Linked DNA regions of Pelodiscus sinensis. The protein of the gene in region 3 interacts with the protein of the main gene of each other region in a biochemical or structural test. Links are inferred from orthologs where the notes say so. Each region holds a gene or a part of one and is shown on either strand. Other genes may lie near its edges.

Region 1 (7,708 bases), on a different chromosome or scaffold from region 3:
CTAAAACAGGGAACTCATGCAAGTTTATGATATTCCTTAGCCATTCTGAAGGGCTGTATCTACATTGGTGCAATCTTGCGCAAAAGCAATTGCTTTTGCGCCAAAACTTGCTGCCTGTCTACACTGGCTGCGAGTTCTTGCACAAGAACACTGATGTTCTAATGTATGAAATCAGTGCTTCTTGCACAAGAACTATGATGCTACTGCTCAGGAATAAGCCCTCTCGTGCAAGTGTTCTTGCACAAGAGGCCAGTGTAGACAGGCAACATGAATTTCTTGCACAAGAAAGCCCTATGGTTAAAATGGCCATCAGAGCTTTCTTGTGCAAGAGAGTGTCTACACTGGCATGGGTGCTCTTGTGCAAAAGCACATCTCTTGCACAAAGGAACATGCCAGTGTAGATGCTCTCTTCTGGAAGAGTTTTTGCACAAGAACTCTTCCGCAAAAGAGTTCTTGCGCAAAATCATGCCAGTGTAGACGTAGCCAAGATGTATACCCAGTGAGAACAGATTGGTTATAACAGAAAAACAGGTGGACTGTTTTTATAAACCGGGGGTGGGAGGAGGGATGGGCCAGCTATTGTGAGGGTACCTTAATTCTATTTTGGGGTAACACCCTAAGGGACAACCTTGTACCAAAGTGCCCTCAAGTTTAGAGCTCTGGGAATGGTGTGTTTCTGGGAATCGGGGGAAGGGAGAGGAGGGACAGTGTAGTCTTGGGACCTAGGCAGCTGAATGATAAGGTTCTACTCTCAGAAGGGAGTGATAAATGGAGACTCTGAAGAGAGACCCAAAACAATAGGCAATCCCTTGGCTCTGCTTAGACTCTGCAAGTGAAAAGCACGTTGGTCCAGTGTTGGGATCCAAAATAGCCCAGTGTGTGCCCACCAGGGAAGCTTGACTAAGGCTATCGCAGAACCCACTAACTTGACAGGCATCCAGGAGAGGTGTTTTTCTGTAGAGATAGGCTGAGGAGGTGGTCTGAATCTGGATCTTGGTTAGGTATAGACCAGGTTTGGGATTATGGACAGAATCAAATGGCTTGAGTTCAGTGCTGTCAAACTCTGACAACCTGTCCTCATGAGTTTTTTACTCCAAAACATGGACATTTGATTTTACCAAATAGTCTCGTGAAGTTTCCTTCATCCTGAAAATGGATCTGGAAAAAAGGTCTTTTCCAGCTTTGGAGTCAACCAAAGCTTCTTTAATTTGGATTCAGATTTCAAATCTGCATAATGCCTGTCCCACCTTACACCCAGGAAAATCAAAGGGATTCAGATTTGTCAGTTAAATTCTATGGACACATCTTTGATCAGTGAAGATACTTAAAATGGCATTGTTTTGTTGACTCACCAGATAGCTTGGGTTGCAATGACAGCTGAGGTATTTCTGATTGAGAGATTGTCAGTGGAATAGGAAAAACTAAGAGGATTTCACAAGGGTCGAAATGGGGAAAAATCATTTTAAAATCTTATATAGTTTCTGAATGCCTGCCCACATTAGGGGACCACATTGATTATTGGACCTCTTCAGAACTCAGTGTCTAAATATATTGCCAGAAAGTCTGATTCTTTCATCTGCTTTACCCTGGTAATTTGTCTCTGAAACTTAATTTCTCTCTCTCACTTCCCTTGCACCCACTTTGCTTTCCTTTTCCATAGGATATTTTAATTGGCAAACTTTGGATTCCTTTGACCTCAGTCTGAACATTGCACTGGTTACCTACCAGGAGCCTTAGGGTTGATCCTAATTTGCATACTATGGGGCAGGTTGCAGCTGCCCTCACAGTTAACTTGGAAGTAAAGAAAGTAGAGACTTACAGATATAAGGTGTCAGGCTCTGTGTTACACTAGGACCTTGTGCTTCACTTAGTGATTTATGGCTTCCATTCCCAGATATGATTGTGTTTTCCACTTGATGCTGCTCGCACTAACACATGATTAGTTTTGAGGGAACAGGACTGTTAGGAAACTATCTAAAAAGAGAAATTCCATAAGTTAGTCATCACCACAGGATTTTTTTTTTTACTGAATGTTTATTCTTTTTGGTGCTGGAGCCTCAACGGATGACACTCCTTTCACAGTTGGTACTGACACAATGCCCTGGCACGAAGTTTGGGAGTCCTGGGATGATGACAAGTATCAGAAGGGTAGCTGTGTTAGTCTGAATCTGCAAAAGCGGCAAGGAGTCCTGTGGCACCTTATAGACTAACTGAAGTGTAGGAGCATAAGCTTTCGTGGGCAAAGACCCACTTTGTCAGATGCAAGATGATGAATGAGCTGTCCATTGCATGAGATGCACAACCAATTCCCTGACCATTTGTGGGGCATGACATGGTCCCCTAGCACCTTTGGAATACTCAGTGCAGGGAGCAGTACATGGTAGCATGGTAGCATGGATATTTATCTCACAGGTAACAGCGCTGACCTCACTCACTATATTGTCTCATTTTCCATGTATAAAAGTGTAAGTAGAACTGAGCAGAGGTTTCATTTATTAGTTTTTCACTGGGAAGTGCTGAGTGGGAGAAATCAAAATGTTTCCCTGAACTTTATAATTGAGTGTGAAATTGAGAGAGAGACCTCCATCTTGGCATAACCAATAACCAAGTAGGGCATTCACCTGGGCTGTCAAAAACCTTGTTTCAAGTCACTGCTCTTCTGTATTGAAAGCAGGGACTTGACCCTTGTTCCCTAGATACTGACTGTGTTGGAGTGTTGATTTCTCTTTGTGCTCCCCTTCCCCAATGAAAAATCTTGGATTTGTTCTGCAGTGGGTTGGAAATGAATGCTGAAATCTTCATCTTTGGAAATTATTATTTTCCAGATAAGCTTGTACGGCACATAAATGCTTGACTTTTATAAGTAGTTGATCCAGATTGTCTCTTCTGATTTTATAGTCTGAGTCTGTATATAATCCGGACCATACAGATTATCCCTAGAACATTTTGTATGGATGGAAAAATATATTTCTAACATTTGTAAACAGACTGGTTGTGCAGTTTCTATATATAAAAATGAAATTTTCACAGTTTATAGTCATGCAAATTGTTTGCTGGCTGTATCCAAAGAAGGAAAATTCAGACTTATTCCCACCAATCAGCTCCAATGATGGTAGCAGTCGTGGTGACTGTATTTCAGAGATAACTCAGGCATTTCCACCACCCTGTCAGTGTTACCTAAAACTACTTAGTGAAATGACACCATGATAAAAAGGGTGTGAGTCTTGTCTAAACTATAACTTCCACTGGTGACTGAATTATGGAGTTTAATGTTTCCTAAATAAGATCACTCATAGCAAGTGCAACTGGAGAGATGGGAGCTGACATGCGTTAGTAGTCAACAGAGACAGCTTTTAAAGGCACTTAATTTTTAGGAGTAGGCTTAGCTCCTGGTTAGGTGCTCTTTAAACATTCTCTCATCACTGGCTGACCATGTCCAAGTGAATCAAGGTGTCTAGTGCTGTCTGGGTCTGTTTGTATGCTGTTGCAAACACTTTTTGTGCGAGGCAATGGGGTGTGTTACAAGCATTGCTGATGCTCTGGATGCTAGAATTCTCTGCAATAGGGAAACCTCTAGTGTCCTAGTCAAATTCTAGTCTTGTTAATTACCTTGCAGTTACCTGAATTCCCCTGTATCTTCAATTCGATACAGTATCTAAAACCATTGTGTAGTGTTGCTCAGCCCTGTGAAACATTAACCAGGCTTTGCTCTAGCGCTGGCTGCTTTCCAGTGGTGGGTGAAGTGCTTCCTTATGTATGTGTAATGTTTATAAAATATTTTTGGAACAGATTGACTTAAAATTACCCCAGCTGTGATAATCCCATCGTTTCAGTATCAAACTCCATAACAGGAAAGTGACTGATATAGCCAACGGCTGGAAAGGCAGCCAAAGTGGGGCGCCAGGCTTTTTAAAACCAATTGGCAAAGGCAAGTTTTGAAACGCGATGTTGTGTGACGCAGCTTTGTACACGGACTTATTAAATGGTGTTTGGTAAAGTCCTCTCCCATTCGTTTGTTAAGGTCTCTGCCATCCCAGGCACACTGGCTTACTGCTTGGAACCCCTGCTGGCAGGCTGCTACAGTGGCAGGCAGCACTGTTGTCCCTATGCCCGCTTCAATCTTTATTACCCGTTTAACAACAATAATCGCACAGACCCCGTCTGTCGTGGTTAAGATCCAACCAAGGTCACGGGGCTCCCTGCTGGGGGAGATGCGGGCGAGGGACGGGGCTCGGCGTGGTGTTGATAGACACTCTCCGAGAGCCTGCTGCCGGAGGTATGCGCTGCTATTTGATTGCCTCCTGCCGTACTGGGCAGGGCTCCGGAGTTGCATGGGTGCCGAAGCCAACAGCGTGAGCTGGAGAAGTTTGGCCAATGCCTCTGGCGTGACAGGAGGCCTCCCTCCCTGCCTGGGGGACCCCGGCAGGGCTGCAGCGGGGGACGCTGCGGAGCCTGAGCAGCGAGTGCGGGGATGCAGCACCGGACCTGGAAGCTGGCTCTCCGCGCTCATCACCCGCAGCTCCAGCCCGCGTGGGCTCGGACCCAGCCTTTGCCTTTTCCAGCGTGCCGGGGAGCCCCAGCGGGGCAGCTGGAGCTGATGCTGGATCGGGCTCCCTTTCCCCCTCCCCCGTCTTTTGGCTAAGGGCAGCTTACGTGAGAAGGGGGATGAACAGGAACAAATCCACCTGCCGGCGCGGCGGGCTGGGTGGAAGAAGCTGCCGCGAGAGTAGGGGAGAGAAGCAGGACTGGAGACAGGGAAGCGAGTGAGGCGGGACGGCTGGGGGGCGAGCGAGCCCCATTGACAGTCCAGCCTAGGAAAGGGTTAAGGACACGCCGCTGGCTCAGTGGACATGTAAATACAGAACAGCTGCTCCTCTCCGGCTCCGGCCGGCTCCTCCAACCGTCTGATTGGCTGCCAATGACATCACCCCTGCCCCTCCTGTGTTATACCAACAGCGGACCTGAAGCTACGTCGGATAAACCATCCCCAAGCGGCGGGGAGCTCAGGTCCCCGCCTCCTTCCACTCTCCCACCTCCAGCCATTGGCCCCCCGGCGCTGGAAGCACGCCCACTTCCTGGAAAGAGCCCCTATTGGGCGCGGACACCGTCTGTCCCGCCCCTTTCGAACCTTACATTTACAGTGTAGCAAAAGAGAAAGTAACTCTGTTGCCGCTGGAGATCAATGAAGCCGCGTGAATGGGGGCTTAGCGTAGAACTCTGTAGCCACAGATGAGCGCCAGATGCTGAAGGGATCTACTTATTTATGAAGTAAGTGAAAGGCTATGCTTATAGTGATAGGGGAGGGCAGCGGGTCTATAGCTGCATCGAAGTAGCACCTATAAGATACCTAGTAACGGAGAAGGACATACTTTCATCTGTACGCAATGCTACTTTTGGAGGGGTCGGTGTAGGAAGCTTGGCCAACAGTGTTGTGCTTCTACTGCCTCTGATTGCAACCTCTGTTATTTCTAGTGAGTGTTGGTGGGATGGGAGAAAAGGCTTTTCTCGTCTTGGGATTGCTGCAGTGTGTCGGGAGGGGGAAAAGGTGAGGGACTAGAGTGCTCGGAGGGCTTTCCTTGCATCTTCTTCCTTGGCTTTATCGCTCCACCCCAGACACACACTTCATTTTCGTATGGTCCTGGGTGAAGAGAAAGTGGCGGCGAACGGTCCTATACAGGGCAGTGCTAGTTCTATTCTGACTTCATGGTTTTGCTGGAAATATACAACCCTCTGCTGCATAGATGCAGACCTTCCAAAACTGCATATTTTCTTGTCTCTAGAAGGAAAACAATCATCTGTACTTGGGATCAAATCCTATGACGTGTTTTTGTAACATTACTGGTTTATATGTTTATTTGCCTTTTATTTTTAATTGTGTTGCTGTTTTTTCTTTACAAGCAGAAGGATATTGCTTTTCAGTTTTCTGTTGGGTGCTGGTTTTCTAAAGGGGGGGAGAAGGGATAGGCTAGGCAATCTACTGGGTCATTTTGCAAAGGTTGATCTGTCTCTACCCTACAATATAATTTTCTGCTATGTGAGTCCATGCTGATTTTCATCTGTGGATGGTAAACATTTTTTCCTTGTTCAGCTATTTTCAAATTCACCTAGTAAAGAGATTTTTAAAGAAAATAAGAGTGGAGGGCCTGCCTTGGGATAGCTCCTTAGTGTAAAAAAGGATACTATAATAGGGATTGTAGACTGGGATGATATAATTGGACGGAGAAAAACTGATTTTAGGAGTGTTTGGTCGCTTCTAGTTAGAGTTATTTAATCTGTTAGCTGGTTGATGGAATGTATTTTGAAGAGGAGCTTCCAATGCTCTGAAGGTGGGTTTTGTTTTGGTGTGGTTTTTTTTGTTTGTTTTTTTTTTGGCAGGGAGAAATGCTTCTAATTTTATATAGTGTCTCTTGGTAAAGCTTGTGAAGATCACAATTTAGGGGCTGCAGAAGGGGCCTTTATTCCTGGAGTCTCCAAAACTGTTCTGAGGAGCAGAGGGTGCTTCTGCCTCTAGGATTGCTCAAGCTTCCAGGCTTTATTTTTATTTTTATTAGAATTGTACTAGCATCTGGAAAAGGGAGATGCAGTTGGGATGCAGGTTTGTGTCTTTCACAACAATCTCTGGCATCTTCTACCTCCTTGTTACGTCTGTGTGAAATTAAGTTTTCAAATGGATTTCTCAAGGGTTTATTCTAAAGCTAGTTTTATTCAGGCTTGCTAGAAAAGTTGTACATCTTCCTGTGACATATTTGGCTGCTATGCATTCTATAAGTTGTTGAGCCATGCCAATAGTTCTGTCCCTTGCTGTAAGCAGAGGAAACGAAAGAACATGCCTTCTTATTGCCCTTATCAGTTGCATGCTTTGCAGCCCAAAGATTTCAGAATAACTCCGCATCTGCATGTAAATGAATGTCTCCTCTTAACTGTGTCTAGGCCAATTGCATATTCTGCATTCTCTTTGAGTACAGGATAAGAGTTGAAGCTTTTGCTGCAGGACCTGGTGCCTTCATAAATTGCACTGAGCTGATCCCCCTGAAAATCACTGATGAGTATTGAAAACTGCTTTTAGAAATCTCTGGCTCTGTATGTTTAATGTGATCCTTTTTTCTTTTTCCCTTTGCAGACAGATCTTGAGTTCTTCTTGACTTGCCAATTCTCAGCCTCCTCATGCCTCCATCTCCTTTAGACGACAGGGTAGTAGTGGCACTTTCAAGGCCAGTAAGACCTCAGGATCTCAACCTTTGTTTAGACTCTAGCTACCTTGAATCTGCTTCTTCTGCCAGTGAGAGTTGCACAAGTCTCCTTGGTACAGCTGTTGTGTCCTTAAAGGCTGCTAATCTCCCGTATATGCCCTCATCCAACGGCTCTGCACGCTCCTTGAGTTGTGGCTGCAGCAGCACCAGTTGCTGCACTGTGGCAACTTACGACAAGGACAATCAGGCCCAAACTCAAGCAAGCACCAGTAGCACCACCAACGTAGGAACCTCTACCACTTGCCCTGCTAACCAAATGGTCAACAACAATGAGAACACGGGCACACTGAATCCATCAGGTGGAGTGGGAAGTCCGGCCTCAGGAACAACCAAGCAACTAGCCAGCATAAAAATAATCTACCCTAATGACCTGGCTAAAAAGATGACCAAATGCAACAAGAGCCACCAACAGAGCCAAGGGCCTGTCATCATTGACTGCAGGCCGTTCATGGAGTACA
Region 2 (7,409 bases), on a different chromosome or scaffold from region 3:
CCTACCTATATATACACACAAACAAATCCTATATTTGGGGACAAGTAAAAAGCCCACTTTCTGAGTGATCTTCTCTCACTACAAGGTAGGAAATCTCCAGGACACTTTTTAGGGAGTATAAGGTCACAGCTGTTAAGAACATGTATGGCTCTGGAACCAATCAATAGATCTAATGAGAGCTAAGACACAATACTTGAAACACATGGGCTATGTCTACACTGCAGGCTTCTTGTGCAAGAACTGTTTTGCAGAAGAGTTCTTGTGCAAAAGGTCTTCCACAAGAGTGCATCCACACTGCCATGTGCTTTTGCGCAAGAGCATCCATGGCAGTGTGGACATTCTCTTGCGCAAGAAAGCTCTGATGGCCATTTTAACCATAGGGGCTTCTTGCGCAAGAAATTCATGTTACCTGTCTACACTGCCCTCTTGTGAAAGAGCTCTTGCGCAAGAGGGCTTATTCTTCGTAGGGAGAGGAATAACACTTCCGGAAGAAACCCTGTTTTCTGACGCTATACAGGCAATCCCCGGGTTACGTGGATCCGACTTATGTCGGATCCCTACTAACAAACGGGACCCTTCCCCCAGCAGACCGCCGAGACGCGACTCAGCAGTCCCACCGCCCGCGTCCTCCACGGCGAGAAAAGCTGCCCCCCCCCCCCGCCCCCAGCAGACCAGGGAGACGCAGAGCAAAGCCGTGGAGGATGCGGGGGGCTGCTGGGTTGGTCCCACAGCGCCGAGGTGCGGCACTACTGGACCAACCCAGCAGCACTCTAGCTGCTCTGCCCCAGGCGTCCCCAAGTCAGCCGCTGCTGAAACTGATCAGCGGCTGACTACAGGAAGCCCAGGGCAGAGCAGCTCTGCCTCGAGCTTCCTGTAGTCAGCCGCTGGTCAGTTTCAGCAGCGGCTGACTTGGGGACACCTGGGACAGAGCAGCTGGGGTGCTGCCGGGTTGGTCCAGTAGCGCCGTGGAGCGGCACTGCGGGACCAACCCGGCAGCGCCCCAGCTGCTCTGCCCCAGGCGTGTCTGATTCAGCCGCTGCTGGTCAGTTACAGCAGTGGCTGAATCTGGACGCCAGTTCCAACTTACATACAGATTCAACTTAAGAACAAACCTACAGTCCCTATCTTGTACGTAACCCGGGGACTGCCTGGACTGTAAATTTACTTGCGCAACAGCGCGCGTGCAGTGTAGCCAGCTAGCAAGTTTTTGCGCAAGAACGATTGTTCTCGTGCAAAGAGCGTGCAATGTAGACACAGCCATCACCTTACAGCTCTCGCAGAGAGGCATTTCACTTCTCTGAATCACTAGTGCATCTTCAGTCCCCCCCAGTCTGCCCCCCCCGCACGCTTCTCTGAATCACTAATGCATCTTCAGTCCCCCCCAGTCTGCCCCCCCCGGCACGCTTCTCTGAATCACTAGTGCATCTTCAGTCCCCCCCAGTCTGCCCCCCCCCGGCACGCTTCTCTGAATCACTAGTGCATCTTCAGTCCCCCCCAGTCTGCCCCCCCCCGGCACGCTTCTCTGAATCACTAGTGCATCTTCAGTCCCCCCCAGTCTGCCCCCCCCCGGCACGCTTCTCTGAATCACTAGTGCATCTTCAGTCCCCCCCAGTCTGCCCCCCCGGCACGCTTCTCTGAATCACTAGTGCATCTTCAGTCCCCCCCAGTCTGCCCCCCCCGCACGCTTCTCTGAATCACTAATGCATCTTCAGTCCCCCCCAGTCTGCCCCCCCCCCCGGCACGCTTCTCTGAATCACTAGTGCATCTTCAGTCCCCCCCAGTCTGCCCCCCCCGGCACGCTTCTCTGAATCACTAGTGCATCTTCAGTCCCCCCCAGTCTGCCCCCCCCCGGCACGCTTCTCTGAATCACTAGTGCATCTTCAGTCCCCCCCAGCCTGCCCCCCCCCGGCACGCTTCTCTGAATCACTAGTGCATCTTCAGTCCCCCCCAGTCTGCCCCCCCCGGCACGCTTCTCTGAATCACTAGTGCATCTTCAGTCCCCCCCCGGCCTGCCCCCCCCGGCACGCTTCTCTGAATCACTAGTGCATCTTCAGTCCCCCCCCCGGCCTGCCCCCCCCCCGGCACGCTTCTCTGAATCACTAGTGCATCTTCAGTCCCCCCCCCGGCCTGCCCCCCCCCCCGGCACGCTTCTCTGAATCACTAGTGCATCTTCAGTCCCCCCCCCGGCCTGCCCCCCCCCCGGCACGCTTCTCTGAATCACTAGTGCATCTTCAGTCCCCCCCCCAGTCTGCCCCCCCCCGGCACGCTTCTCTGAATCACTAGTGCATCTTCAGTCCCCCCCAGTCTGCCCCCCCCCCGGCACGCTTCTCTGAATCACTAGTGCATCTTCAGTCCCCCCCCGGCCTGCCCCCCCCCGGCACGCTAAGGGGGCGGGATCCCCACGGGAGACGGGAAGGAAGGGAACTCTGAGAGCGGCCAGAGGACAGGTCGCGCCCCGCCCACTGGAGCCCTCACCAACCCCGCGCCCCCGCCCCGTGCGCACCGACCGCCAACGGCCGGCCCGACAGCCCCGCCCCGCACAGCTGCCGTTGGCCGACAGGGGCCCGCGGCCTGCGCTCGGCGCGGAGGCTGCCGGGAGCCGGCGCGGCTCACCTCCTCGGCCTGCTTGCGCAGCGCCTTCTCGCGCTCGTACTGCGTGAGCAGCTGCTCGTTGTCCTCGCGCAGCAGCTCCAGCTCCACCTCGTGCTCCTGGTTGTCGGTCAGCACCGAGTCCAGGTTCTCCAGCACCGTCACCACCAGCGGCATCAGCTCCTTCACCACCTCCTCGTCGTAGCAGCGGATGAGCCGCTCGAACTCGCGGTAGATGCTGTTGGCCAGGCCCGAGACGCGCTCCGACATGACGGAGCCCGAGCAGTAATCGTCCCCCGGGTAGCCGCCCACGCCGCCATCGTCCAGCTGGATCTCCAGCATCCTGCCGCCGGACCGGACCGAGCGCCGCCGCCGAGCTGCTGAGGCGGCCGCCGGCTCCGCCCGGCCCCTCCCCTGCTGCGCCAATGGGCAGGCCCGGCCGGCGGCGCCGCCTCCCGCGCAGTGTCAGCGCGCGCCCGCCCGCACGGCGGGGGGAGGGGCGCTGGGAGGCACCGCCCGGGCTCGCGAGCGGAGCGCCCCTTCTTTAATTAGACCCGCCCGGCTCTTCGTTTGCGGGGTCGCTGCTCTAGCAACCGTGAGGCCTCTGCCCGCCCCACCCCCACACGCTGGCGGCGGGCCGCGCCTTCATATCGGCGTCCGCAATACACAGCGCGGGGCTAACGAGCTGCCAGCCCCAGGACCAGGCTCTACGCAGAGACGTATCGGAGAGCAGGGTGGGATGAGGAGACGGTATCAACTTCATCGCAGCTTAAGTGATGGATGGTCCCGGAAACGGACAATAGCACATTGAAAGCATTTTACAAATATACTTAGTCCTCAAAACCTTCCTGTGACGATCACTAGCTCCAGTTTACAGATAGAAAAACTGACAGGAAGATAAAGTGACTCCAACAAGGTTATAGAGGGGGTGTCAGAACCAAGATTAGAACAAAGGCGTTCCTGAGTCCTAACACTCCACTCTGTGTTCCTCCTCATCCTCTTTAGAGAATCATTGAATAATAAAACTGGATGGAATCTTGAGACGTCCCCAAGTCCAGTCCCCTGCACTTGCTATTGCAATTTATAGGGATTTATTGCTATTTTATCTGTCCACACATCTATACAAGCAATATAATCACAGGACCTAACCACATAAGCCACCACATCAGAGGCTCATACAACTACACATCCACCAATGTGATCTGTGCCATCAAGCACCAGCAATGCCCCTCTGCCGTGTGTATACTGGCAAAACTAGACAGTCTCTACAACAAAGGGCTAATGGGCACAAATCAGATATTTGAAATGGTAACACAGAAACCTGTTGGGGCATATTGTAACTTGCCCAGGCACTCATTAATGCAGTGTTACCCAAATGGTGTTCTGTGGAACCCCAGGGTTTCGCAAAGTGAAAATAAGGGTTCTGCAAGAAAATTCCATTACAATAACATTTTATGATTTTTAAAAAAATAATATTTAAGCATTTATGAATTTTATTGAAAACAATTTTCATTTGTTTCCCACGATAAGTGTCCCTGTGTAATGCCAGCTTAGCCAGAGAGTGGGGACGATGATGTCACTACTCAGCGTTGCACATGCAGTCAATCAATGGTGCAGTCACCTGTTATATACCACCATAAATCCCCATACTCACTCTCAGGAACCGTGGATCATGTGGGTGACTGAATACGAATATATTAGCGCCATATCGGACAAAGTCAAAGCTTCAGCTGTCAAACCAGTTGTGATTTTTGTTTTAAAATATGTGCAATTAAACTAAATGTCGATCTCATTACCTAGTTTAGCATTTGTTTATTATTCTTACTTATTTGTGGTCTACTTTTTCAGTTCCATATATAAGACTGTTATTGGGGGTTCCACAAAATTCTTTCAAGTCTAAAAGAGTTCCAGGGCCAAAATAAAATTGAGAAACTGTGCACTAATGGATCTAAAAGTACTACAAGAGGCCCCCAACTTGCAACACGACTGATTCCGAGGGAAGTGTTGCAAGTCGGGGGCATCATAACTCGAACTTGCATTTACAATAGGCATTGTGCGCCTTCATAAATGCGGGCCAGGGACATAAGTTGGGGGGTTCCGGCCCCTTCCGCACTTACAAAAATGGTTGTAAGTTCAGGGGTCAGAAGTCGGGCTGGGGCCTCTTGTATAAAGCAATTTCAAAAACCAGCTGGAGAAAGAAGCTGCAGAACTTGGTTTTGTTTACAAGTTTGACACCTGCAATCAAGGTCTGAACAAAGACCTGATCTGGATGGGCAGCTACATTCCGCACCCTAATGACATAAAAAGATAAGCATGAGTCCATTCTATTAGCCCCATTTAGCACGGACACTAATTGACAATATTTTTTCCTTTTTTTTTAAGAAGTGGGTTGTGCCCATGAAAGCTCATGATACCATCTACATTTTTTGTTACTCTCTAAGGTGCTGCAGAACTATTTTTTTATAGGAAACATATCATTGATGAAATAACATTGATGTGTTCCCTTGAGTAATGTAAAGTTGCCAAACTGGCTATCCACTGCCTGCCCTATCCCCACCTTACAGCGTCCAGTGCTGGGGTCAAGCTAGGGTGTGTGTGGCTGAAGCATTGCTGAGCTCCAGCTATTCTCAGCTGCAGAACAGCCCAGACCTTTTCAACAGAACATGAATTAGACCAGTCAACCAAATATGCCCCCAGCTAGACCCAGAATATTGGGGCATGCGACAACATAAAACCACCATCCCACTTAATCCCCATTCTTGCACTGATCTTAGCTCAACAAGAGGGAGAAATGAAGTCTCAGCTTTGCCCAGACTATTAGAATACCTCTTGATTTATAGGTGCTGAAGAATAGTATTATTCAAAGCTCACTGAAGCCAATGGAGTCTTTCCATTCAATCCAATGAATGCTGGATCAGGCCCTCAGATCCTTAGTTTACTAAGCTGTTGCTGGATTTCAGAACATTTGAAAACCCCACCTTATATAGAGAGCAGAGTGTGTAATATTCTCTGAAGAAATGTTAACCCTTTCCTAACACCATCGCAATGGAATTACCACATTCCATCTGGAACACCCAGCCCTACTTCTTGTAACCATTCTCTCTCTAGCCCCTACAACTGACTGAGTACATCATAGTTTTCCTTGTACAACCCCTTTCAGGGAAAGATAAATTGTAGTGTAAAAAAAAGGAAGAACTGGCAGAGCTATACTAACCATCCTGCTTTAAAAATAGAATCATAGAAGATTAGGGCTGGAAGAAACCTCAAGAAGTGATTTAGTCTAACCCCCCAAAGTAGGAACAACCCCACCAATGTTCCCTCTAATTTTTCCATCCATGAGTGGAGTAAATTATGTTATATGCATCAAGGCATGTGCAGATGTGCACCACCAATAGATACACATGCTGTCAGCAATCGGTGCTCTGCTAATCAGCTAGGTGGCATGCAACTCTCTCCCAAGTAGATGCCCAAGTGCTCATTTTACAGGAAACACTTAACCCTACCTAAATCATCCCAGCCAGGGCTATGATAAGCCTCGCCTTAAAAACCTCTAAGAATGGAGATTTTACCACCTCCCTACGTAATCCAATCCAGTGTTTCACCACCCTCCCAGTGAAATAATTGTTCCTAATATCCAACTGTGATGGAGCCCCCAGCACCCCGCACTACACGGCAGCTGGGGGAAGTGCTTGTCAGCGAACGTGCCGCCAGGAGCGCCAGGGACGAGACGCAGGACTCTGAGGCGGCGGAACGCCTGGCGTCTTGCGCTGCTCGCCGGCTGAGGGAAGCACTCGGCGGCAAGTGTACCACTGAGAATGCCGGACCCCAGCAGTCTTGCACGGCATGCACCGGTGACGCCATGAACCCAGTGGGGGCGGGGGTCAGGTGACGTCAGTGAGGAACACCGGGGGGCGGGGCCACCGGATGCAGCTGCACTCAACGGTAATTCAAACAGCGGCCAGACCCCACAGAAGGGGAGGAGGAGAGTTGAACGCAGCAAGGGGAGGAGGAAGGCGCCGCGCGGAGGGTCGCCACAAACTCCAAAACCAGATGGACTAGACACTGACTGGTGCTGGACCAGGTGCCTCAGCGGAGAGGAGGACGTGGCCCAAGACCGGGTCTGGAGACGATGGGACATCATTAGAAACCACAGGGGTTGGTGAGTTACGGGGAAGCTCCCCACCAACCAGACAGCAAAGCCTATTCGCTGCCTTTAGGGTCCTGGGTCGGGACCCGGAGCGGGGGCAGGCCCGGGACCCCCTCCATCTCCGCTAACGCCGGGCCAGGTGAGTCCCGCCAGACGCGGGGGACTCTGTTAGACTACTAGCGAACTGTTAACAGGAGGAGTTTGGAAAGGGGGGAAGCACGGGGTTTAGCAAGGGTTGTAAGGGTGGCCAACCACAGGTGCCCCTGATGATGATAGGGCTGTAAGCCTGAGGGGGAACCCGCCACGTAACACCAACCTAGTTCTCCCCTATCCCCCCCACAACTTGAGCACACTGCTTCTTGTTCTGTTCTCTGCCACCACTGAGAATAGCTTAGCTCCATCCTCCTTGGAACCCCACTCATGGCTCCCCTCATGGACTGGCTCCACCTACCACCCCATGCTGCTGCCTCTGATACAGAGGCAGCAGTGCAGGGTTGCAGGGGGCTTCCCATCAGTGGGGCCAGGAGTTCACTGGCTGCCGGCCCCGCACTCGGAGAGTATTTTATAACCATGTAACCAATAAAACTTTTTACAGCTACATGATTAGTAAAACAAATGTTATCTAACATCCCTATTAAAAGCTTCAGGGGATGGCCGAGTTAGTCTGTACAGG
Region 3 (7,849 bases):
ACAAGAGCCATAGGCAGCTCTCGTACATTTCAAAGGGACAGGCGCAGTGGGATAGCCAGCATCCCCCTTATTGACTAATTGAGTCGTCAATGGAAATTCCATCGACGACTCAATTAGTTGATTAATTGAAATTTAACATCTCTAGCCCACAGATGTTGAGACCACAGAAGAGAGAATCCCAGATTTGAGAGATGCAACCTGTAGTCAATAAGAAACAAGGTAATATGGTTTTCAGTGCACACAGGAGTCACGTTTACCAAATAAAATGCTGCAGTTTTTTCTATAGTCTTTTTAAAGTCTATAATCTTATTCCGAAAGATTCACATTTCCAACATTTCAGATCTCCGTTGTCCATTCCTCCACTCTACTCCCCGCAGTTCAGATATAAATTGATATTTCAAGGTTAAATTAAATTTAACCAATAAAAAAAACTTGCTCAGAAATGGGAGTCAATCATTCTACAGTACCCAATTGCAAAGACAGAAACAAAAACTCCAATACATTTAGTGGGAGAACCAGGACACTCAGAAAGCTCCATTTGGGCGACAGAGTCAGTTATTGAGTTTTTGTGTATGTGAATGTGTATCAAATACAATCTATGGTCATCAGATCTCATTCTTGTCTGATACTTTTCAGAGACCTTCTCCAAAAGCCAAACTCAATGCCTGGACATTTCATCCACTACCACAGGTATGTTCCCTAATCACCCACTCCCTACACATGTGAATCAGATCTCACTGATTAGCGTACAAGAAATGAGAATGGACATCAAACTAAGAAGTGTACAATTAAAATCCAGCACTAGCAAAGAGTAGCAATAAGTTCACTCTACTAGTACAGGACTGTGCTTGTGAAGAAAACAGTTTCACACACATACACATAGAGGGAAAGTGTATTGCTCTATACATGAGAACTGTGGTGTCCTAGCCACACTCAACGGGGCAAATAGCCACATGTGGCTAGCAGCTAGCATGTTGGACACCACGACATTAGAACTTACTTGATAGAAACATTGAAAAGTGCCACTGGATTCATATACAAGAAAAATAATTTAAGATGGCTGCCTCCATGGACTGAGGTCAAAACAGAAGCATAGGCCTATTTGAATTTCATCAGCTATGCCTTTGTTATTATATATTCTTCATTACGGAATGTACAATATGAAGGGTCTGAAAAGTCACTGAACTCACTTTTAATTAGTACTCTTAGCTAAATGTGACCCTATCTCCCTTCAGGTAACAATCTGATTTAATTCTAAATTAACTCAATATTTGACAGTGCACCAATTTATGCAAACAAAATAAAACATGCTACAAAACAATGTTTTACGCCTCTGATTAATCCAAAGAAGAATGAATTTGCCTGCAATTCTGAAAATTAAACTAGTTTTTCAGTGAATTCATCACAGGCCTTTACCAATAGTCATCTCCAAACCTTTAAATAAAACTAAGTTGCAATACAAGAAGTTGCAGAACTTACCCTAGAGCAACTAATTTCTTTACATAGGTGGGTAAAACATTGTTTGTGTTTACATCATTAGAGTCAGGCAAAGTGAGCAGATATGCTACCAGGGCTGGAAAAATGTTTATAATAATTTTGCAAGGCTCCCTCTATATAACACTGAAATTCAACAAAACAGTATAAACCCAACTATGGTACTATAATTGAGAAGAAAGAAGGCTCATGGGATTCACATTTGCAGCTTATTAACAGAGACCATTTAACGGGCTCTTGCACTTTGCATTGATAAAACCATGGCATTAAAAAATGTGAAAAAAAAATCTGAAGCTTGAAGAGTCAAATCTGACACTAAAGTACTCATAAAAAAGAGAAACTAGAGGAGGGCAACAGAAAAACTGCAAACATTTCAGTTATTTCTGACAAAAATTATGAGGCTTAAAATGCAGATTTTCAGAAGAGACAAAAATATTGCCAGACTTCCTAAGCAGCTGTCTTTGGAGGTCAAATATCCCAGAAGAACAAAAAGGCATTTTTCAAAAGCAGTCATTTGGAATTTTGTTACAGATCTCATTCACTTCAAACTGCTACATTCTCCAGCAACTCAAACCTCTTTTTCCTGAAAAGCTTACAATAAAATACAAGTAAATTTGGAGAAAAATAATCTAGTTTATCAATAAATGGTGATGAAAACCAAAAAGATATTTTCATTGATAATAATAAAAACATACAGCTATGCCAAGTCAGAAAAACTTATTAGAGTTTGACTTAAGGACGTGTATTTTGTATATTCTGGCATGATGTTGACAATTTGTGTTTTAATGACTATTTAACTTGTTTAATCTCAGCGCTGACTGTCATTCTATTCTTGTCTGACCAGCCCCCCTTATTTTCCATCTCTGTGAACACTGACAGACTGAAAACACAGTTTCAAATAAAACTGATATTTGTCAGAATTATTTTTAAAACAATGAAAATCAAGTTGTGCCAAGCGGCCCTGCAGGGGAGATATTGCAAGAGGAGAGGAAACCCTGCCACAGCTTGGGAACCCTGGCTGGTGAGGAGCAGAGCCCCTCTCTGGTGATGCCAGCCCAACAAAGAGACAGCCCCCCCCCCCGGCCCCCCCCCTGCAGCCAGGCCCCCCCACGGGAACCAGGGCAACGCGCGGGGGCAAAGCAGCCACCTGCTACCGTGCACAAGAGGGGCAGGGCGCTGCACGGGGGGGGGGGGGGGGGGCGGGCCCGGGACCCCGCTCCCCCCCCCACGGGACCATTGCACCGACCCACTTCTGCCACCCCTCCCCCCCCGGGACCATTCCACCGACCCCCGCCCCTCCCCCCACAACCGCCAACTGTGACTGCCGCCCCTCCCCCACTAGCCCCGCCGCCCCCGCCCAGCGCCGAGCCGAACCGGGCCGGGCCGCCCGGCGCCGACACAGGCCGCGGCCCCGCACTCACCGCCCCGCCGCTCAGCAACGAGCCGGAGCCGGAGCCGGGCCGCGCGCACAGACGCAGCGCCCCGCCCGCCCCGCCCCCTGCGCCGCCGGCCGCGCGAGCGTCCCCCCCCCCCCGGACCTGCGCGGCTCCCAGCCCCCCCCCCGTCAGAGCCCCCCCGCCCCGTGTGCCCCCCGCAACCCCCCCCGCGTGCCCCCCCGTCAGAGCCCCCCCGCCCCGTGTGCCCCCCGCAACCCCCCCGTGCGCCCCCCGTCAGAGCCCCCCCGCCCCGTGTGCCCCCCGCAACCCCCTCGTGCGCCCCCCCGTCAGAGCCCCCCCGCCCCGTGTGCCCCCCGCAACCCCCCCGCAACCCCCCCGTCAGAGCCCCCCGCCCCGTGTGCCCCCCCGCAACCCCCCCGTGCGCCCCCCCGTCAGAGCCCCCCGCCCCGTGTGCCCCCCGCAACCCCCCCGTGCGCCCCCCCGTCAGAGCCCCCCGCCCCGTGTGCCCCCCGCAACCCCCCCGCGTGCCCCCCCGTCAGAGCCCCCCCGCCCCGTGTGCCCCCCGCAACCCCCCCGTGCGCCCCCCGTCAGAGCCCCCCCGCCCCGTGTGCCCCCCGCAACCCCCCCGTGCGCCCCCCCGTCAGAGCCCCCCGCCCCGTGTGCCCCCCGCAACCCCCCCGTGCGCCCCCCCGTCAGAGCCCCCCGCCCCGTGTGCCCCCCCGCAACCCCCCCGTGCGCCCCCCCGTCAGAGCCCCCCGCCCCGTGTGCCCCCCGCAACCCCCCCGTGCGCCCCCCCGTCAGAGCCCCCCGCCCCGTGTGCCCCCCGCAACCCCCCCGTGCGCCCCCCCGTCAGAGCCCCCCGCCCCGTGTGCCCCCCGCAACCCCCCCGTGCGCCCCCCCGTCAGAGCCCCCCGCCCCGTGTGCCCCCCCGCAACCCCCCCGTGCGCCCCCCCGTCAGAGCCCCCCGCCCCGTGTGCCCCCCCGCAACCCCCCCGTGCGCCCCCCCGTCAGAGCCCCCCGCCCCGTGTGCCCCCCGCAACCCCCCCGTGCGCCCCCCCGTCAGAGCCCCCCGCCCCGTGTGCCCCCCGCAACCCCCCCGTGCGCCCCCCCGTCAGAGCCCCCCGCCCCGTGTGCCCCCCGCAACCCCCCCGTGCGCCCCCCCGTCAGAGCCCCCCGCCCCGTGTGCCCCCCCGCAACCCCCCCGTGCGCCCCCCCGTCAGAGCCCCCCGCCCCGTGTGCCCCCCCGCAACCCCCCCGTGCGCCCCCCCGTCAGAGCCCCCCGCCCCGTGTGCCCCCCCGCAACCCCCCCGTGCGCCCCCCCGTCAGAGCCCCCCGCCCCGTGCGCCCCCCCGCAACCCCCCCGTGCGCCCCCCCGTCAGAGCCCCCCGCCCCGTGTGCCCCCCCGCAACCCCCCCGTGCGCCCCCCCGTCAGAGCCCCCCGCCCCGTGCGCCCCCCCGCAACCCCTCCGTGTGCCCCCCCGCAGCCCGCCCCCCCGCCCCGTGTGCCCCCCCGCAACCGCCCCCGTGTGCCCCCCCCGTGTGCCTCGCGCAGCCCCCCCGCGGACCCCTCCGCACAGCCCTCTCGTCTGAGCCCCCCCCGCGCAGCACCCCGCCCCGTGTGCCCCCCCCGCCGACCCTCCCCGCCCCGTGTGCCCCCACGCAGCGCTCTCGTCAGAGCCCCCCGCCTGCGTGCCCCTTGTCAGAGCCCCCCCCCCGGCAGCCCCTCCGCCCCATGTGCCCCCTGACAGCCCCCCCCCCCCGCAGCCCTCCCACGTGTGACCCGCAACCCATGTGCCCACTGCCCCCTGTGCTCCCTTTCAGAGCCTCCCACCCTGGGCAGCCCCCCCGCCCCGTGTGCCCGTATCTGAGCCTCCACACCTGTGTGCCCCTCCCCTGTCAGAGCCCCCCGCCCGTGTGCCCCCATCTGCGGAGCCCTCCACCCTGTTCTCTCCGTGAGAGCCCCCCACCCCGTGTGCTCTCCTGGACAGCCCCCCACTCCATCTGGCTCCTGACAGAGCCTCCTACCCAGTACAGCTCCTGGGCAGGTCCCCCCCTACTCTGTTTGCCCCCCGCCTGCCTCCTGGACGGCACCTATTCTGTTCCATTTGTCCACCTATACTTCCCTGTTCCTGCGCTGCTCTGTGCAGCCTGAGACAGCCCCTCCGCCCCAGCTCCGTGTGCCCCCAACAAAGCTAGAACAGACTCCACTGGTTCCTTGCGCCACCCTTCATCTCTGTGCCCCTCCCTGCATGGTCCCCCTCTACCTTTTCAGACATACCCCTGCGATGTTGTGTGTCCACTAGGACAGACCCGGGCTCCTTGTGCCCCACCATGACTCTACTCCCTGCTCTCTAAGTTCTCCCCACTGTACAACCCTATGACACCAGCTCCTTTCCCCCCCTCCCTCCTTCCATGCCCTCGTGGGATACCCCCAGGACCTCAGTGTCATATGCCCCCAACAGGGACCCGTCCCCCATCTCCATGTGCCTGTCAGTCCCCACTGCTAAGTAGTCCTTCCCCAATAAGGACCAGCCCATAGGGTGACCATCTCTTGTGGGATGGAAATAAGGAAAAACCACATGATAGATAAGGGACAACCCTTTATTTTAAGGGATGTTTTAGGGAAACACCTTTCCCTATAGCAAAGTAGGTATGGCATGTGTACATTTCAACTGTCCTCAGACATACAGTGCAGTCGTCATAAGTTTGTTTAAAATAGTACTTGCCTGTTTTAAAACATTTCAGCACATCTTTGGGGTTTGTTTGTTAATTCATAAAGCTCTTTAACAGTCCAACTGAAATTAATGTTAATTTGAAGTTCAGCTTTAACAGTGTCAATATTTAGCGGGTTTCTGCAGTTTTTCTATACCTGGATAACAAGTAAAATGTTCTTTCCACTGCTGCAATTGAGGTAGGAATAAAAGTAATAAATTCCACACATTTTAAAAAATTGGAAGGAGAATGATTAGGGTACCGTGTTTCAAAGCCCCATCCTTTCCCCTGTACACAGTACTTGTTTCAATGAAACATAATAGAAGAGCCATGTGGTTAGGCTTTTGGTACTTAGTCATGAATGTACCTTTCCAGAAGTTTTCTAAATTTTTCCTAGCATTTCCTTACTTGTGTTACAAGTGCAAAAACCAAAGGGATGAGGTGGAAAAACATCTGAATATTAATATGTTTTAACGCAGCGTCTCAAATATGAAGCAACATCCATGATTTTTATTTTAGGCGCACAATTCAGCACAATTTTGAATTTTTATTTTTAGCTTTGGAATTAGTTTTTGTTAAAATTCCATGTTTCTTCAGTCTGAATTCTACCCTGAAAACAAGCTTCAATCAACATTTACACGACTTAATACTGCTCTGTACAGATGAGATTCGGCCTTCCCTTGTGTATGACAAATTAATGAAATAAGGGACTTAAAGAATGTTCCTTAAAGAAAAGGTAAAAATAGCTATAGCGGCCCATTTTGCACAGTACAGCCGCTCCCCGAGTTGTAAACGGTTGAGTTACGACCGTTCGCACTTACGACCAAAGCTCCCATGGAGCGGTCGTAAAGGTGGTCCCCGAGATACGAACGCGATCCGCGCTTATGAACAGCGCGATCACGTGTAACTCAATGGGGTCCGAGTTACGAACAGCTCGAGTTACGGACCAAGTGTTGATCCGTAACTTGTTCGTAACTCAGAGAGTGGCTGTATCCTGTCTTCTGACAGTAGCCAGTGTCAGATGCCCCAGAAGGAATGAACAGAACAGGCACTCCTACCAGACTCCTCCCCTGCCAACCTCAGTGTGTCCTGAACAGAGACCAGTCCCCAGCTCTGTGTGCTCCCAGACAGCCAGACCCCAGAACACTGTGCCAGCCCAGAAACTAGGCCCACTCATATCTCCCCACTATGTGCCATAGGGACTGGGGCCTGCTCAATTTTATGTGGCCCCCCCTTAAGAACGAAGGTGCCACCAGCATATTGTGCACATCCATCATCCTTCTGGGTTTAGTTCCAGTTCAGTGTATACAATCTCTCCTTCAGCACTCAACGGCTACGTCTAGACTGGCATGATTTTCCGCAAATGCTTTTAACGGAAAAGAGCGTCTAGATTGGCACGGACGCTTTTCCATTTTCGCAATCGGGGCTGTTTTGCGCAAAACAAATCTGAGCTGTCTACACTGGCCCTTTTGCCCGAACGGGAGCAGCATAGTATTTCCTCAAGAAGCACTGATTTCAGACAGTAGGAAGTCAGTGCTTTTGCGGAAATTCAAGCGGCCAGTGTAGACAGCTGGCAAGTTTTTCTGCAAAAGCAGCTGCTTTTGCAGAAAAACTTGCCGGTCTAGACACAGCCAACAAGGGTATGTCCAGACTACATGCCTCTGTCAGCCGAGGCATGTAGAATAGGCTACCCGACATAGTCAATGAAGCAGCTTCCGTCCCCACGTCTTGACTGCCCTGCTGTGCTGACAATCAGCTGATCCAGCACTGCATGGTGGCCATTTTTATTTTAATGAAGCCGGGGATATTTAAATCCCCACTTCACTGACTATGTCGGGTAGCCTATTTTACATGCCTCTGCCGACAGAGGCATGTAGTCTAGACGTACCCCAAGGGTCCAGGCTCTCTGCCCAGTTCACTGTGTCTGTGCCCCACAAGGACTGGCACCACCAGTTCAGTGTGTTTCTCTCTGCCCCTCCCAAGCTCTGCTCCTTTGCCCTGGAACCTACTGCTGGCCCCCAAATGTCCATGGCCAGCTACACCCTGAGTCTGGGAGCTGCACTTGGCACATTCCAGTCATCTGGTAAGGCACTTCCCCATCACAGGAGCTGTGGCTCTGGCATTTAGAAACAGTACATTTCCTGAGGCCCTTGCCTTCAGCCTGTTCATCCAGAGCTTTGGCTTACAGCCATGGAACATATGCATCCGCTTGTCCAGTGCCTCTCTGCCTTCTTCATTGTGCTGGT

Evidence for each region. The genes of interacting proteins can lie anywhere in the genome.
Region 1: the proteins of MAPK8 (region 3) and DUSP10 form a complex in vitro, tested with the Homo sapiens proteins (2 studies listed by BioGRID, with this or other methods). The link is inferred for Pelodiscus sinensis from reciprocal best matches to the Homo sapiens genes MAPK8 and DUSP10.
Region 2: the proteins of MAPK8 (region 3) and MAPK8IP3 form a complex in vitro, tested with the Homo sapiens proteins (3 studies listed by BioGRID, with this or other methods). The link is inferred for Pelodiscus sinensis from reciprocal best matches to the Homo sapiens genes MAPK8 and MAPK8IP3.

What each region holds. Positions count from the first base shown.
Region 1 is NC_134713.1:154,040,738-154,048,445, reverse strand, and holds the start of DUSP10 (dual specificity protein phosphatase 10), read left to right. Parts: upstream 1-4,695; 5' UTR 4,696-5,268; intron 5,269-7,120; 5' UTR 7,121-7,164; coding exon 7,165-7,708. UniProt on the Homo sapiens protein: Protein phosphatase involved in the inactivation of MAP kinases. Has a specificity for the MAPK11/MAPK12/MAPK13/MAPK14 subfamily. It preferably dephosphorylates p38.
Region 2 is NC_134726.1:612,564-619,972, forward strand, and holds the start of MAPK8IP3 (C-Jun-amino-terminal kinase-interacting protein 3), read right to left. Parts: upstream 3,014-7,409; 5' UTR 2,932-3,013; coding exon 2,614-2,931; intron 1-2,613.
Region 3 is NC_134718.1:5,444,611-5,452,459, reverse strand, and holds the start of MAPK8 (mitogen-activated protein kinase 8), read right to left. Parts: upstream 3,001-7,849; 5' UTR 2,916-3,000; intron 1-2,915. UniProt on the Homo sapiens protein: Serine/threonine-protein kinase involved in various processes such as cell proliferation, differentiation, migration, transformation and programmed cell death.